Cricetulus griseus: one gene and its partners. The protein of the gene in region 1 interacts with the protein of each later gene in a pairwise test. Links are inferred from orthologs where the notes say so. Each region holds a gene or a part of one and is shown on either strand. Other genes may lie near its edges.

What was found. The genes of interacting proteins can lie anywhere in the genome.
Region 2: the proteins of Ppp1cb (region 1) and Ppp1r7 interact in binary tests that used the Homo sapiens proteins (3 or more experiments, as listed by UniProt). The link is inferred for Cricetulus griseus from reciprocal best matches to the Homo sapiens genes PPP1CB and PPP1R7.
Region 3: the proteins of Ppp1cb (region 1) and Csrnp2 interact in binary tests that used the Homo sapiens proteins (3 or more experiments, as listed by UniProt). The two-hybrid records come from large-scale screens. The link is inferred for Cricetulus griseus from reciprocal best matches to the Homo sapiens genes PPP1CB and CSRNP2.

What each region holds. Positions count from the first base shown.
Region 1 is NC_048600.1:11,974,013-11,977,755, forward strand, and holds the end of Ppp1cb (serine/threonine-protein phosphatase PP1-beta catalytic subunit), read right to left. Parts: intron 3,179-3,743; coding exon 3,074-3,178; 3' UTR 1,384-3,073; downstream 1-1,383. UniProt on the Homo sapiens protein: Protein phosphatase that associates with over 200 regulatory proteins to form highly specific holoenzymes which dephosphorylate hundreds of biological targets.
Region 2 is NC_048595.1:444,811,018-444,816,308, reverse strand, and holds the start of Ppp1r7 (protein phosphatase 1 regulatory subunit 7), read right to left. Parts: upstream 3,679-5,291; 5' UTR 3,546-3,678; coding exon 3,494-3,545; intron 839-3,493; coding exon 710-838; intron 1-709. UniProt on the Homo sapiens protein: Regulatory subunit of protein phosphatase 1.
Region 3 is NC_048595.1:396,957,746-396,963,295, forward strand, and holds the start of Csrnp2 (cysteine/serine-rich nuclear protein 2), read right to left. Parts: upstream 3,679-5,550; 5' UTR 3,434-3,678; intron 1-3,433. UniProt on the Homo sapiens protein: Binds to the consensus sequence 5'-AGAGTG-3' and has transcriptional activator activity. May play a role in apoptosis.

The DNA.
Region 1 (3,743 bases):
CTATTAGGACCACAGTTTTCACAAGGAACCATTCACTTTGGCATTGCAGACTCAAAACCTCCCAAGACAACTCCAGTATTTTTGTTTTGAGACAAAAGAATGAAAGGAGATTGGAACCATGTTATAAATTTCTTCATAGGGTCAAAGTGCCAACAGTAATGCGAGCAGTCATTTTTGGAATCTGTAATTTACTAAATGCCACATATTTGCATCTGTCTGACATGCCAAGCATCATTCCAGGAAATAATAAAATAAATCATTTAAACATTTTCTTTTTATGTGTATAGGGGTTCTGCCTGCATGTCTGTCTATGTACCCACCTGTGCCTGGTGCCCAGCGAGGGCATATGGTAGCAGATCCCCTTGGCCAGGCACTACAGACAACTATGAACAACCTGTGAGTACTGAGAATTGAACCCAGGTCCTCTGCAACTGCTTGTAACTTTTCTTTTTTTTTAGATTTTATTTATTTATTATGTATACAACATTCTGCTTCTATGTATATCTGCACACCAGAAAAGGGCACCAGATCTCATAACGGATGGTTGTGAGCCACCATGTGGTTGCTGGAATTGAAGTCAGGACATCTGGAAGAGCAGTCGGTACTCTTAACCTCTGAGCCATCTCTCTAGCCCTTTGTTTTGTTTTGTTTTTGTTTGTTTTTCGAGACAGGGTTTTTCTGTGGCTTTGGAGGCTGTCCTGACTGCCTCAGTCTCTCGAGTGCTGGGATTAAAGGCGTGTGCCACCACTGCCCAGCTGTAACTTTTCATCTAGTGACTGGACACTGTAAAAAAAAATTTTTTTTTTTTCTCAGAAAGATCTTAATATGTAGACCTGACTTCATAGATCTTCATGTCTGCATCACAAATCTTGGGACTTAAGGCAGCCTGTATTCTATTTTTTGTCTTTGAGATTTTGCCAGCAAACTAGCATAATAATCTGTGATAGCTGCATATGTTCAGCTGTGATTACTGTATTATTGTTAGGAGCACATAATGTACTGAGTGCTTATCTATGAGAAGCTGTAGAGTAGTTTTTAAGAGATCTGAAATAATTTTTCTACATAGTATAATGTCTATCCTTTAATAACCAATACTAATTTGCTTACTTTTCCTTAGTTTTAATCTGAATGAATATTTATAAAAATCTGGTCTATAAGATACAAATTAACTAATATTGAGATTAAGGCTTACTTTCTTGAGCTACCTTTAAATATAGACAACTAAGAGATAACAACTAAATTCCTATTAGCAACTATTTGATTTATACCCCAGCAAAGTTAACAAATCACATTAGATAAATGTGTGTGTCATCTAATGAAACATGGCTACAACTATGTCAGTACATGTCTCATTGTAAAACAACACAGAATGATCACTCAGGCTTTGTATCAATTAGACAACTTTTACTAAATGAGAAAACTACATTTAAAATGTGCTTTAAAACAAAATTAGAAAAAAAAAAAGATGAATGCGTTTTAAAGAACTTTTGCACTGTGCTGAAAATCAAATGTTTCTTGCAGTAATACAATGTGCCAATCCATAAAATGTTAACAGAGTTCTCAGTTTAACATTTTCAAAGACAATATAAGGTTTCACATCTATGGTAACACATAAGAAGGGCATTATAAATATTATGTCCATCCCTATGAAGCTTACAAATTTGACATGTTCAATAAAGACTTTAGAATCACATCCAATAGTGTCACATCCAAAGAACCACAGATCTGTGCCTGTTGTTAAGTCTTCCTTCTAAAATCTGTGTTGACCTTGCTACTCCTTGACATTTGTTAATGCTAACCCTTAAAAAAAAAAGAGAACAGGAAAAGAAATGCTGCAATAAACTCTTGATCATGTACAGAAATTATTGCTACTATACTTCACTACAAAGCATGTCTATACATATTATGACCTTTGATTATGAAAACGCAGAGTAAAATCTTTAGTGACAAAGCCTTACAGTCAAAAACAACATTCACATGGCAATTATTAGACAGTGAAGCACCCGATACTCAGAGCTGACAAATGTCCCACTGACCAGCATTCATTTAAATACATCCTTCACATGGAGAGGGAAAGAAGAGCGCCAGCTTTCCAAGGCTTGTCAAAAAAAGGATTCTCATGTTCTGTGGATCTAAAAACAAACAAACAACAACAAAAACCCCAAAAAACAAAACCAATGCAGGTGAGGGTAATTACCAGAAAGTTAAGCATGCCAAAAGGTGTTTCGTGCGAATTAAAACCTAAAGCCAAGGTACCACATAATCACATTACCAACTAGTTTTGGGTAATACTATATGAGCCTTATCTTAAACAAAATGCTACTGCACAATAGAGCATCAATAAATTAAAAATTAGAGTGCACAAATCCAAATCAGTGGCAATTTTGTAAAAAGCGAAATATTCATTATCAGCTGCAAAGGTTGCCCAGTCAAACTGTTTGATTAAAATCATTGGATCAGATAGTTTGTATATTTTTAAAACCCATCAACCCTTAAAATTCCTTTTTGTTATTTTGAGGCATAAGTTTTCTTAGTAAGATCAAACAGTTACATAAGTAGCTAAGTGAAGAAAACTAATAGTTGGTGAATGTCTTTAAAGCTCTTCCCATATTTCACTTTTTAAAATGTTTAGGGAAAAACAGGAAAAGTAGTTGCCATTATTCTAGCAAAAACAAACAAAACAAAACAAGCCCAAAATAATTAAACAACCAAGCAACACTAAAACCACATTACACAGATGGAACGTCATGCTTTCATCGGGTAACTACCACAGCTAGTTTAACTGGGATGCTTGTCATCTTTAAAAAGTGTGATACCAGAAGATATAACTTCAATGGATACTTTTGAATTTGGATTTAACTTTGTTGAATATTATAACAGAGTATACTTATTACAATACAGTGTAGCACATCTTTCTATTAGAAAAAAATTTAAGCTCCTTTACCCGTCTCCTTAAGTTAAAGGTGTGACCTCATAAAGGGTGTCGAATGGCTGGATGGTTTTACAGTGCACACTTTATATTATGAAGTATGTCCTTAACAGATCTGATGCTTTCTTTACAGAATTCCTTTCTTCACCTTTTCTTCGGTGGATTAGCTGTTCGAGGTGGAGTGACAGGACGTCCAGAATTCAGTCCACCATACTGGTACTTAGCTTTCTTTTCAGATGGTTTCAATATCTTAAAATAAATAATTTATTAACAACATTATTCTTTCAATAAATGGCATCAATTGTTAAAGTCCAATGAAAACAGAAGCTCAGCAACATTGCACAAACATTTCTTAGATTTTAGGACTGGGTAAGTTTGTCAGAGCAACTCAGTGTGTGCTCAGCATGAAAAAGAGCCTGGGTCCTGCCTCCAGCACCACCCTTCTCCAAGGAGGGCACTTACTAGTTATCATTTCCTTTGTATTCTAATAACAATGGCTTGGATGCACAGTCTCAGTAACTAAGTTAAAATTTTCTTCATTAGTTCATCTCATTAGAGAGGAAAAAACACTGAGTCTGAGTCAAAAACTCCAGGTTCTCGACTTACTTCTGAACACGCACCCTGAGGAGTGGTGTAGTTGTTGGTGTAGGCAGATTAGCCTCATATTCATGGCAAGCCTTCTGCCCTAGCATTTTGAGTGCTGAGATTACAGGCATAAGCCACCACACAGAACTTTGACTTTATTTTCCCCGTTACAGGTAGATCTTACTTTAAATTTTTTTTATGAAGCCCGGTGGTGGCGCACACTTTTAAT
Region 2 (5,291 bases), on another chromosome or scaffold:
ATTCAGCTGGGACATTTCTCGGTGGTTATATGTTTTCTGTCGTTCCTTTCCATGTAAACTGATTTACTGAGCAAGCACATTAGCACAGGCCATTACTGAGGAGGGTATAAAACCATCACAGGAAGCTGTTTAGTTCCCAATGGAGTGATTTTCCAGTGAGTCTCAGGCCTATATTAACATCAAGGTGGTTGTGGGCATAACAAGCATACACCCGTAATCTGAACATTCAAGAGGCAGGCAGATCTCTGAGCTTGAGGCCAGCCTGGGCTATATAGTGAGATCCTGTCTCAAAAAAGCAATGTTGAGGTTGGATCAGAAATGATTTCTTATCTTTGTGGCAGGATACATAAGTATAGCAGTTAACCACCACATTATTCTCTTCAGATTTTGTTTTCTGAGTAAAGGATTTAAAAATCATTTTCTGTTTCCGCTTTGGTGCTAATCATCACCTAGTGCCAATGTCATCAGCTGTAGTATTGTCCCTTCAGCAGAAATGGATCTGCTGCACCCATAAATGTAAATCAGCCAGTTGATGAGGCAGTACCCCAGAGAGCCGGCTGCCCTCTGCCAGCATGCCCAGCTGCCCAATCTACTGGGACCTTTGAAGAACACAACTACTCCTACAAGGAGAAATCATGTCAAAGCAGCAGCAATCTTAATAGCACACTTCCCACTATATGGGGAGTTCAAGGTTAACTATGCCCAGTACCTTCTGGGTCCTCCGTCTCCTGTTCCACTCCATCCTTCAGACTCTGCTCACTGAGGTCTGTCACGATGCCACCGATGTGCCTCTTCCCTTCCTCATCACCTGATTCTTCAGATTCAACCCGCCTGTCGACTGAACCCATACACGTCAGTGAGAATTCACATCCACTTCATTCGACAATTTGAGGAATATAGAACAGATTAACACAAGTTGTAAGTCAGCAAGACTTCTTTCTGAAATAGTTAAATTCAGTTGACATGAACATTTGAATGTCTTCTATGTCCCAACATTACTTAAGATATAGAGACAGGAACCAGGAGGCCACGTGGGCACAATTGACATGCTGTCCTTTCCCTCCAAGAGCTTGTAAAGAACTGCCAAGTGTTCTAAAAGCCCCTGGACCTGATCTGGGATCAGGAACACTAATGGCACCACATAGTGAAGTACCTTCCAGGTGGCTCTCACATTTGACCTGATATCCACCACAAGAACAAGAGGGAACCACTGTGAACCTTCTGCCATATACCTACATCAACAACAACAACAAAAAGACCAAAACTGGTTCAAATTATAGGCCCACATTCTGAAAGCAATCAAGACTAGCTAAAATCAGACTGTGGGCAGGGAGGAGCTCCAATGAAAATGAGGATGTATCAAAAGTGCCAAATGCCCTAGGTAAACTGCTGATGTTAAAGGATCACAGGACAGAGTGTTAGCAATGCAAAGCTTTTTAGAGTAAACAAACAGGTTTTGAGTTACGAAGAAAGCAACAATGAAAGGTGGCTTTGGCAAATGATCTTCCTAAACCTCAGTATTCATATCTGTAGAAGAGTTTGTGGAGTACCTCCCCGCCGTCAGGACCAAAAGAGAAAGGGCACAAGAGTGGCTCGGGTGCATGACATGTAGAATGTATGCATTCCCAAGAGACACAGGACCAGCTGTGATCCAGGATTAGGGAAACTAGGTTCTGTTTGGTATTTGCATGGCCCCCAGGAGGACCCAGAAGACAGAAGGGACAGTTGGTGCAACCTGTGCATCTATCCTCAGGACAGCAGAAAGGTTCTAGAGCATGGGGCAGTGTGCAAGAAGGTGACTGTGTGGCCTAGGTATGACAGGCTAGCAAAAAGGCCATAAAATCAAGAGGAGGAAGGTTTGAGTTATGGTATTGGCTGTGATAGAGAAGGTGACAAAACAGGTAGCTCACTGAGCATGGTGGCACATTCCTTTAATCCCAGCACTCTAGCAAACTGATGTGGGTGAATCTCTATGAGTTCTAGGTCAGCCTGGTCTATAGCAAGCTCCAGGCCAGCCAAAGCTACATAGTGAGACCCTATCTTAAACAAACAAACAAAAAGCCAAAGCCAAGCCAAACCAAAAAGAAAAAAAGAAAAAAACAAAAAAACATCCAAACCCACAAAATACACCCACAAAAGACATGGGGCTCTGGAAACTAGGTGTCAGCTGGCAGTGACATGTGTGGGAGTGGCAGAGAGGAAAGCCTGGCTTTTGTATTTGCCCTTTACTGAAAAACAGAGGAAGAAGGGGAGGAGGGTACTGTAGGAGGGAAGGGGAGAGGAAGAAGCATTTTCTTGCTTAGAAAAGATTCAAAGGCAAAATAAAACTAAAAAAAAAAACCCCAAAACACAAAACAAACCAGTATGACTCCCTTTAAGACTCTCCAAGACCTTTTCTAGAAAGTCTCACCGTCTCTTCCCAACCCCCACCTCATATGACAGTTTATTTAGGTCAAATTCTTCCATACTCCTTTGCTTCTGACTGGGTTTCCATTCTGGAATGGTATTGGTCCTCCCCACCTGTCCCCAGTCTGGATGACTTCTAGTGATCCTTCACGGCCCAACTCAGGGCAGCATGGCCACTCCCAAACACACTGGACTTTTCTTCCACGCCCATGCCCCTTGCTCTGCAACCCTCTTCACTAGTGACTGCGTGACTGCTCTTCCAGAAGTAACCCTCACCGAAATACAGAGCAGTCTTTAAAAGGCATTCAAGGGTTCAGATCTGCCTGATGCTACAATGGGTATAGGAGTGTGTCTCTATATATGCACATATACGCACACACACACCTATATGTACACATAAATACACACGATTATGTATCTACACAACTGTGTACAAAACAAGCACATGTGATATATATATATATATATATATATATACATATATATATATATATATGTACTTATATATGTATATAATGACACAATCCAACAGTGAAAAAAAGGAAGAAAGTTGAATTTAGTCCTTTCAAGACTCTGAATATGTAGAAAACAAGGCACCGCCTGGTAAACGCAATCAGCGGACCTCCTTGTTACCCATCGCTCTGCCACAGGCTATTCGCTTCCAGAGCAGCCTCTTTCCATGCATGCCGCGCGAACAAACTATGGACTTGGCAGGTCCACACGCCCGAAACCTCGGTTTCCCAAGGAGCTGACAGAGGACAGTCCCCCTGCCCCCTCGCCTGTCAATCTCGGAGCTTCTAGATTAGGTTCCCACGGCCGCGGCTTCCTCGCCCGCCCCCCTTTGCTGGCCGAGCTCGCGCCACGTTGTTCCCGGGGCTCTGGTCCTTCCTGACCGCAGCCGCCCTCGGGCCGGGGCTCCCGGGCTCCGAGCCCCCCCCCCCCCGCCCGCCCCTTCCAGTCCAGCAGGCAGCTGTCAGAGAGCCGTGGCTGCGGCCGGAGGCTGGAGGCCGAGCTCCGATCCGGCAAGAGGCCGTGCCCGCCCAGCCCCCAGCTCGCCGCCTCCTGGTCGCCCGCAGGGGCCGCTCACCCTCCATCATCTCCTGCGACTGTTGCGGCCCGCCGTCGCGCTCCGCCGCCATATTGGCTGCTCTTCCCCTTTCCGGAATCTGTCGCCTCAGGCTAAGGGCCAATCAGAACTCCCCGCCCTGTCAGCCAGCCAATAGAAGCGAGCATAGAAGCGCGAGCTGACACGCTTGCGTGGAAGCGGTGCTTCATGGGAGTTGTAGTTCCCGCAAGCCCCGGCTCCACCTGAGCTAGGCGTTTGAGGCTTGCGTGGAGTCTAGGCGAGCGGGGCGAAAGCCGACTTCCCGGCAAAGCATCAGGCAGCATGGCAGACATCTCAAGCTTGCGGGTTCGCCCACGTTACCGTGCCGACTTCGGAGGCGCGGAGGAGGTACTGCGGCCAGGAGAGCGCTACAGGCCACAGGTGAGGCAGGTTAGCCTCGTATCCCCGACCTCGGGAGCCTCGCCGATGTGTGTCAGCACCGGGGGCCGGCGGCCCTGGGAGACCGCTGTGTTCCGCGCCTGCGCGTTGGTTTACTGGCGCCACGGGCCGCTTTTTTGTCACGGATGCTCGGAGCAGGAGGGAGGGGCCGCGGTCCGGCCGGGGAGGGCACGTTCGCCGCCTGCAGCCCACGATGAACCCCCGTGTCGTCCGCTTCCGCTCACCCTCCACAGAAAAGGCGGGCCGCGCGTCGCTCACCGTTCGCGGTCCGCCGTGGGCGTAAACGGCAGCCCCGTGGCGTGGGGCAGAGACGTCGGTCTCTTTTGGCTCCTCGGAGGCGCGGTAGGGCGAGCGTCCGGCGAGTCCCTAGCAACCGTTGCGCGCGCTCTGCAGCGCGCATTCACCGAGGCCCGCCCATAGCGTGTCTGATTGGTTCTTGTCCCCTGTCACTCTGCGCGAGTCGTTCTGCGATTGGGCGGTGGGCTGGCAGCGCGCGGGATCTTCACGTTGTGAATCCGTCGGGGGACGATCGCCGGGCTCAGGTGAGACGCCAGTGTTCGGAAGAGCTTTTGCGGGTGGCGGCCGGCCAGGCGAGGTCTCACGCTGTCGTGGAGCGGTTCTGGCCCTTCCCTCGCGCGCCGCACTCCCTCCGCCCGGCCCCGGCCCCGGGTGCTGGCGGGTTCCGGCCGTTTGACCCGCGCACAGGGAGCCGCCAGCTCCGGAGTGCCCCGGCTGAACTGCAAGCTTCCCTTTTTAGGTCAGGCTAGCGGGCCAGTGAGCTCTGGGGATTCACTGATCTTCACCCCCTATGCTGGGATTGCAGGTACGTGCATCCATGCCTGGCTGTTTATGTGATTAAAGATGAAAACGCAGGTCTTCATGTTTGCATAGCAAGAACTTGTCACACAGGGACCATCTCCACAGTTCCTGTATGACTTTTAAAATAGAAGTTTGTAGCATTGACAGTTTAGCTTGAGGAATGGTATTTTTTTTCTATAAATTAAGGTTTCATAGCATTGTATGCTGAAGTGATACAACTTCGAAAAAACAAAGCAAGGTTTGGTGACACTGGCAGTGTATTAGGGAGACATAATTAGGTGTCCTGAGTTTTGTTTATAGGTTGGTTCTAAAAGCAGAAAACCACAGTGTGATCCAATCCTTATTTGCTATAGCAGGAATTAGTGCATTTAGATACCTAGAGAAGTACACCTTTGACATTAAAACTGCTACTTGAAGGAAAGTCATGCTTTCTAAAAATTCCTATCTCATACATATCTTTATTTTGTTTGAGACAAGGTGGGGTTATATAGCTTTGAATGCTCTATGTAGCTACTTTTTCTTTTTCTTTTTCTTTTTTTGTTTTTTTGGGACAGGGTTTCAC
Region 3 (5,550 bases), on another chromosome or scaffold:
ATGGCTGCTACTCATCCTGGGAGCACTCAAGGATTTATGACTGGAAGCAAATGTGTGCTCTTTCCTTGGGATCCTTTGCTTCCGGTAGTATGGATTTCCTTTGAATATTACTCTTTAAGTCTCACATGAACTTAGATCTGGGCCAAAACCCTCTTTATTACTAAAATTCTCCCTTACCTTAACCCAGCTTTCCTCAAGAGTACCCTTTCATCAGGTTACTTTGTGCCCTTGGCTGCTTGCTCTAAGCCTCTTGGTTCACATCTTCTCACTTCTGGGGGTGTGGTTTGGGTAATGACAGAGGTAGGTAGTAAAGAAAGGGGGAGTGGAAAGCTGTAAAACGTAAGGAAAAGTAATTTCCTTAAGCTCCAATAATCAGGTCTACATGTATAAATAATGTGTATACTGATCTATATGACCAAATTCCATTAAAGAGCTGGGGATGTAGCTCGGTAGTACAGTGGTTGCCCACCATGCTTGAAGCCTTCCCTGGCTTCAATTCCCAGCACCACAAAATAAACAAACTATTCATGGTGACACACAGGAAGATTCTTGAGACGCCACTGTTCTAGCTCTCTTCACCTTACTCAGGATGTTCCTGTAAAACTACCTGTTACTTAAAATGGTTTAAGTTTAGCTATGTAGCCCAGATTGGTCCCACAAGGCCCCAGCTTGTTTCTGGAGAAGCTCACAGTGGTCTTCTTGCTTCAGTCTCCCAAGTGCTGGGATCAGAGGTGTGTGTACCAAGTACAGCCCTTCAACACTGAAAACTTAAAATTCTTTTTTTCTTTTAAGATTTATTTTTATTTATTATGTATACAGTGTTCTGCCTACATGCCAGAAGAGGGCACCAGGTCTCATTACAGATGGTTGTGATCCACCATGTAGTTGCTGGGAATTGAACTCAGGACCTTGCTAGAGTAAGCAGTGCTCTTAACCTCTGAGCCATCTCTCCAGCCCCAAAACTTACATTTCTATCATCTCCTGGGGAACAATGTAAGTTTATATTTCAACTTGGCTCTCTAGTGTGAACCTGACCATGAACCTCCAACCTAGTTAGTCCCACACTGCCTTGAAGAACTCATGTAGTAGTATAGTAACCACTACAACAGGTTCTATTAAGAATCAGTCATTCCAGCCTGGCACGCCTTTAAGCCCAGCACTCAGGAGGCAGACGAAGGTGGATCTCCGTGAGTTCGAGGCCAGTCTGGTCTACAGAGTGAGTTCCAGGACAGCCAGGGCTGTTACACAGAGAAACCCTGTCTTGGAAAAAACCAAAGGAAAGAAAAAAAAGAATCGGTCATTCCCACTGGTTCAACTATTCCCTTAACCACTGATAAAAGATCAACATCTCAGTTCAGAAGATACTCTTTAATTCTCACCTTATCGAACATACATGTAATCCCAGCACTTACTTGCAGGAGGAGCAGGAGTTCAAGGCCATCCTTGGCTACAAAGCAAGTTTATTGCTAATCAAGGGCTACATGAAACCCTGTCTCAACCACTACCCCTCCACTTTATGAGTTATATCCAAGCACTCAAACCTATACAGAAATAACCAAGGTGAGACTAAAAACACAGGTCAGAACAATTAACTGTCTAAATACACATCTCAAACAACAATACTGGTATCTCTCTTTTTAGCTTTTACATGCTGGTGAAATGAAGAGTCAGCTGACACATTCTGATTACATGCCTTATGGTGTTAAGTGTTTCTAGCTGAACATTTCCCTAAGGTACACAATATGCTTCATAGCTACAGTGCATAGAAGACATTATACAAGCACCAATTAAAACCAATTAAACTAGTATTTCAGTACTAGGTCTAAGCTTTCTTCAGGCTGATAAGGACCTCAAACCTAAAATCCTGAATTATGTAAGAATAGCAAAAACCGGGTGTGGCAATGCAGGCCTCTAATCCCAACACTCTGGGGGCAGAGGCAGGTGAATCTCTGAGTTTGAGGTCAGCCTGCTCTACATAATGAGTCCCAAGACAGCCTATGCAGAGGGGCACTGCCTCAAAATAAATAAACAAATAAATAAAAGTGGGGCAGTTGGGGAAAAACTGTGGATGAAGAGTGTATTTGTAAAGTTTGGGTATGTGAGCATTTTTTTTTTTATCTGAAATGAGTCCAAAATCCTAAGACAAGGTTCATCTCACAGGAAAGTCTTTCCACTCAACTAGAACCCAATGCTCTGCTAAAGGTCAAGGAATCCCTTACCCTATCAGCCACCACTGGGGTAGAGGTAGGGGTAGAAAGCCCTACCCTACCCTGCTTTCCTTTTACAAGATACTGTGGGTGATTCTCAAATACTACAGTTTTATGGTTCCATCTGTCCTTGTGATCACCAAAACCATGAGATGGGAAAAGCCCTTGAGGCCCTCACTGAAAGCGCCTATTTAAGCTAGGTGTTTAAAGAAGGTCCCTTCACTGGGTTTCCCCACTGCTGGGTTTCCAGACTTTACTAACACTAGGTTAGAATCTGGCTTTCCACATGTAAGCCACATCCTAGGGAAGACACAAGATCTTTGTGGGAGACTTGGAACATGATGCTGCATTAACTCTCCTCTAAAGGATAGCGTCATTTATAACTGCCACATACCAACACCCGGGTTTTAGAGATTTGTAAGATTTAAAGCCACCAAAGAAAAGAAGAATGTGAATCGGCTGCGGTTTTACCATGAACTGAAAACTGGAGGACAAGGGGAACAGTGTTGTCTCTTGGGGAGAACTTCTAACCTTTCATACTGAAGAACAGTTTGTATGTCACATCGCCACTCTTAACCCTTCTAAAAAGATGAGCACTCAAATGGGGATGGATGGCAGAAGGCTGCATGTTAGGGCCTGAAAAAAAGATCAAACTAGCAACCAGGACAAGTGATGCTCTCATTTTTGCACACAACGCCAGAATAAAAAAAAAAAGGGGGGGGGAGGCATCAGGAACCAGAGCAGAAGGAACATTGTCAAGTCACCAGTCCCCTTAACACAGTTAAGGAACCCTTTGGCTCTCAACCCATTGATTCCCGCTAGCCTTCCCGCTCATTCCGATCGTCCGCAGTCCCTACAGTCTTCCACATCCTCCTGCCCGCTACTCACAAATTCCCAACCACTCCTCCCACATTTTCCTCCGGTCCCTCACTCCTCCCTTCCCGTCCCTCCATCCTACATCACTACCCACTCCATCCCAAAGTCAGCCGTCAGCCGCAATCCTGCCGGCTTCCGAAGCCGCCCGGCTGTCCCTGGAGCTAGCTAGATTGCAGCCGGGCCCGCGTCCCTGGCGCCCCTCGCTCCCACGCCTCTTCCCAGAGGCGCCCCGGCTCCCCGCCCCCCGCCCCGCACGGCTCTGCGCCGGAGCGCTGCCCCACGACAGCCCGAGAGCCGCTGCCCAGCGAGGAAAAGGCGGACCCCTCCGCCCCGCACCCCAGGCCCATTACCGGCCCCGCCGCGGCCGCTTCTCCCGTCACGGTCTCCGCCGCCCCCGCTGCCGCCGCAGCCCGGGTGCAAGGATGGAAGACGTAGGCGTGCCGGTCCGTTCCCGGGCCCGTCTCATAGATAGCTCCCGGGGCTGCAGGGTGTGTGGGCCGGCCGGCCGGCAGGCGGCGGGGGGCGGGTGGCTCTGCACTAGGGCACCCTGGGCAGCAAAGACCAGAACCGCCCCGGCTCCGGCTAACAATAGGCTCCGGCTGCAGCGCTCTGCCTCTTATAGGCGCCGGCGCGTCGCGGCCGGGGCCCGGGGCAGCTTGGGAAATGTAGTCTACACCCGGCCCACGCCCAGTGGCATGCCGGGAATCGGAGGTGGCCTGCGCCGCAAAGCCATATTCCGCCCGGGAAGCAGCTGCAAAGGGAGCATCCACAGCAGATTCCTGGAGAGAGGCATTAGAGCAGCTGCAGCATTTTGGAAGCAGAAGGCTGCCGACCCTCGGTTACACGTCGTCACTAACTAAACGAATTCTCCTATAAAGCCCTCCTTCTCCCCGCTCCAGGACCTCACGCCCATGCCTGAGGAACGTAATCCTCGTTCGTGGGTTGTTCCCATATGACTTGCTGCAGCTGGCCAAAATTAATCAAAGGAATTGCAGACAATGACCTATCTGCTTAAATGATGGATTCATTTCTTCTCCCCCACACCCCACAGGGTCTCATTATGTAGCTCTGGATACTCTAGAACTCACTATGTAGACCAGGCTGGCCTCAAATGCACAGAAATGCTCCTGCCTCCCTCCTGAGCGCTTGGATTAAAGGAGTGCCACCTTGTCTGCGGATCTCGCTATGTTCTTAAAAAAAAAAAAAAAAAAAAAAAAAAAGAAGAAAGAAAGAAAAGAAAATACTGTCATCTCTGATAATCATAGCTTTGCAACTCATCTTTAAAATGGACCAGATAAGGACCAAGAAGTTACTCTAACTTGTCAATTACCTAGAGCTATCCTTTCTTATCCTGTTTCTCCATTGACCTATAATGCAAGATCTAGGTCCACCTGTGGTGCCCCTCCCATAATCTCTCATTATTTTCTGCTATTCCCCTCATTTCCATATTGTGCTTTGATAAACTGGCCTTTCCTGTAGCTGCTTCAACAACCATACTTCTACCTCGAGTTTTTTGCCTTAACGGTCTTAAGTCAACCAGTCATATGCTGGTTCATTTACTAACTATTCAAATGTCTCCATGTTAGAGCTCGCTCTCTCTCTCTCTCTCTCTCTCTCTCTCTCTCTCTCTCTCTCTCTCTCTCCCTCCCTCCCTCCCTCCCTCCTCTCCTCTCCTCTCCTCTCCTCTCTCTCTCTTCCCCCTCTCTGTTTTGAATAAGGCCTATCTATATAGCTCAAGATGGCTTTGAATTCTTTTTTTTTTTTTTTCCCATCAAAATAGGGTTTCTCTTTTTAACAGCCCTGGCTGTCCTGGAACTCAATTTGTGGACTAGGCTGGCCTCGGGCTCACAGAGATACACTTGCCTCTGCCTCCGGAGTGCTGGGATTAAGGCATGCGCCACCATCATCACCAGACTCAGCTTTGAATTCTTAATGCTTCCTCCTCCTCCTCCTCCTCCTTTTCTTCTTCTTCTTCTTCTTCTTCTTCTTCTTCTTCTTCTTCTTCTTCCTTCTTCTTCTTCTTCTTCTTCTTCTTCTTCTTCTTCTTCTTCTTCTTCTTCTTCTTTTCTTCTTTCTTCCTCTTCTTCCTCGTTGTTTTTTGTTTTTTGAGACAGGGTTTCTCTGTGTAGCTTTGGAGCCTATCCTGGCACTCGCTCTGTAGATCAGACTGGCCTCGAACTTGCAGAGATCTGCCTGCCTCTGCCTCCCGAGTGCTGGGATTAAAGGCGTGCGCCACCAACGCCTGGCTCTGCTTCATCTTGAGTGCTGGAATCATAGCTATGATTTGAAACTTCTTCTCCTAGTCTCTTTCTTTTATTTCTCTGGCATTACTACTGGTTGAGTTTAGTTTTTAGTCTCCCATCAGTTGACTAGACTCCATGAGACTAAGGAGTTGTTTTGTGTACTTTAGTCTCAAAACCAAGTAAAAAAAAAGTCTGGTTCTTTGATGTTTAGGAGCACAGTAAAT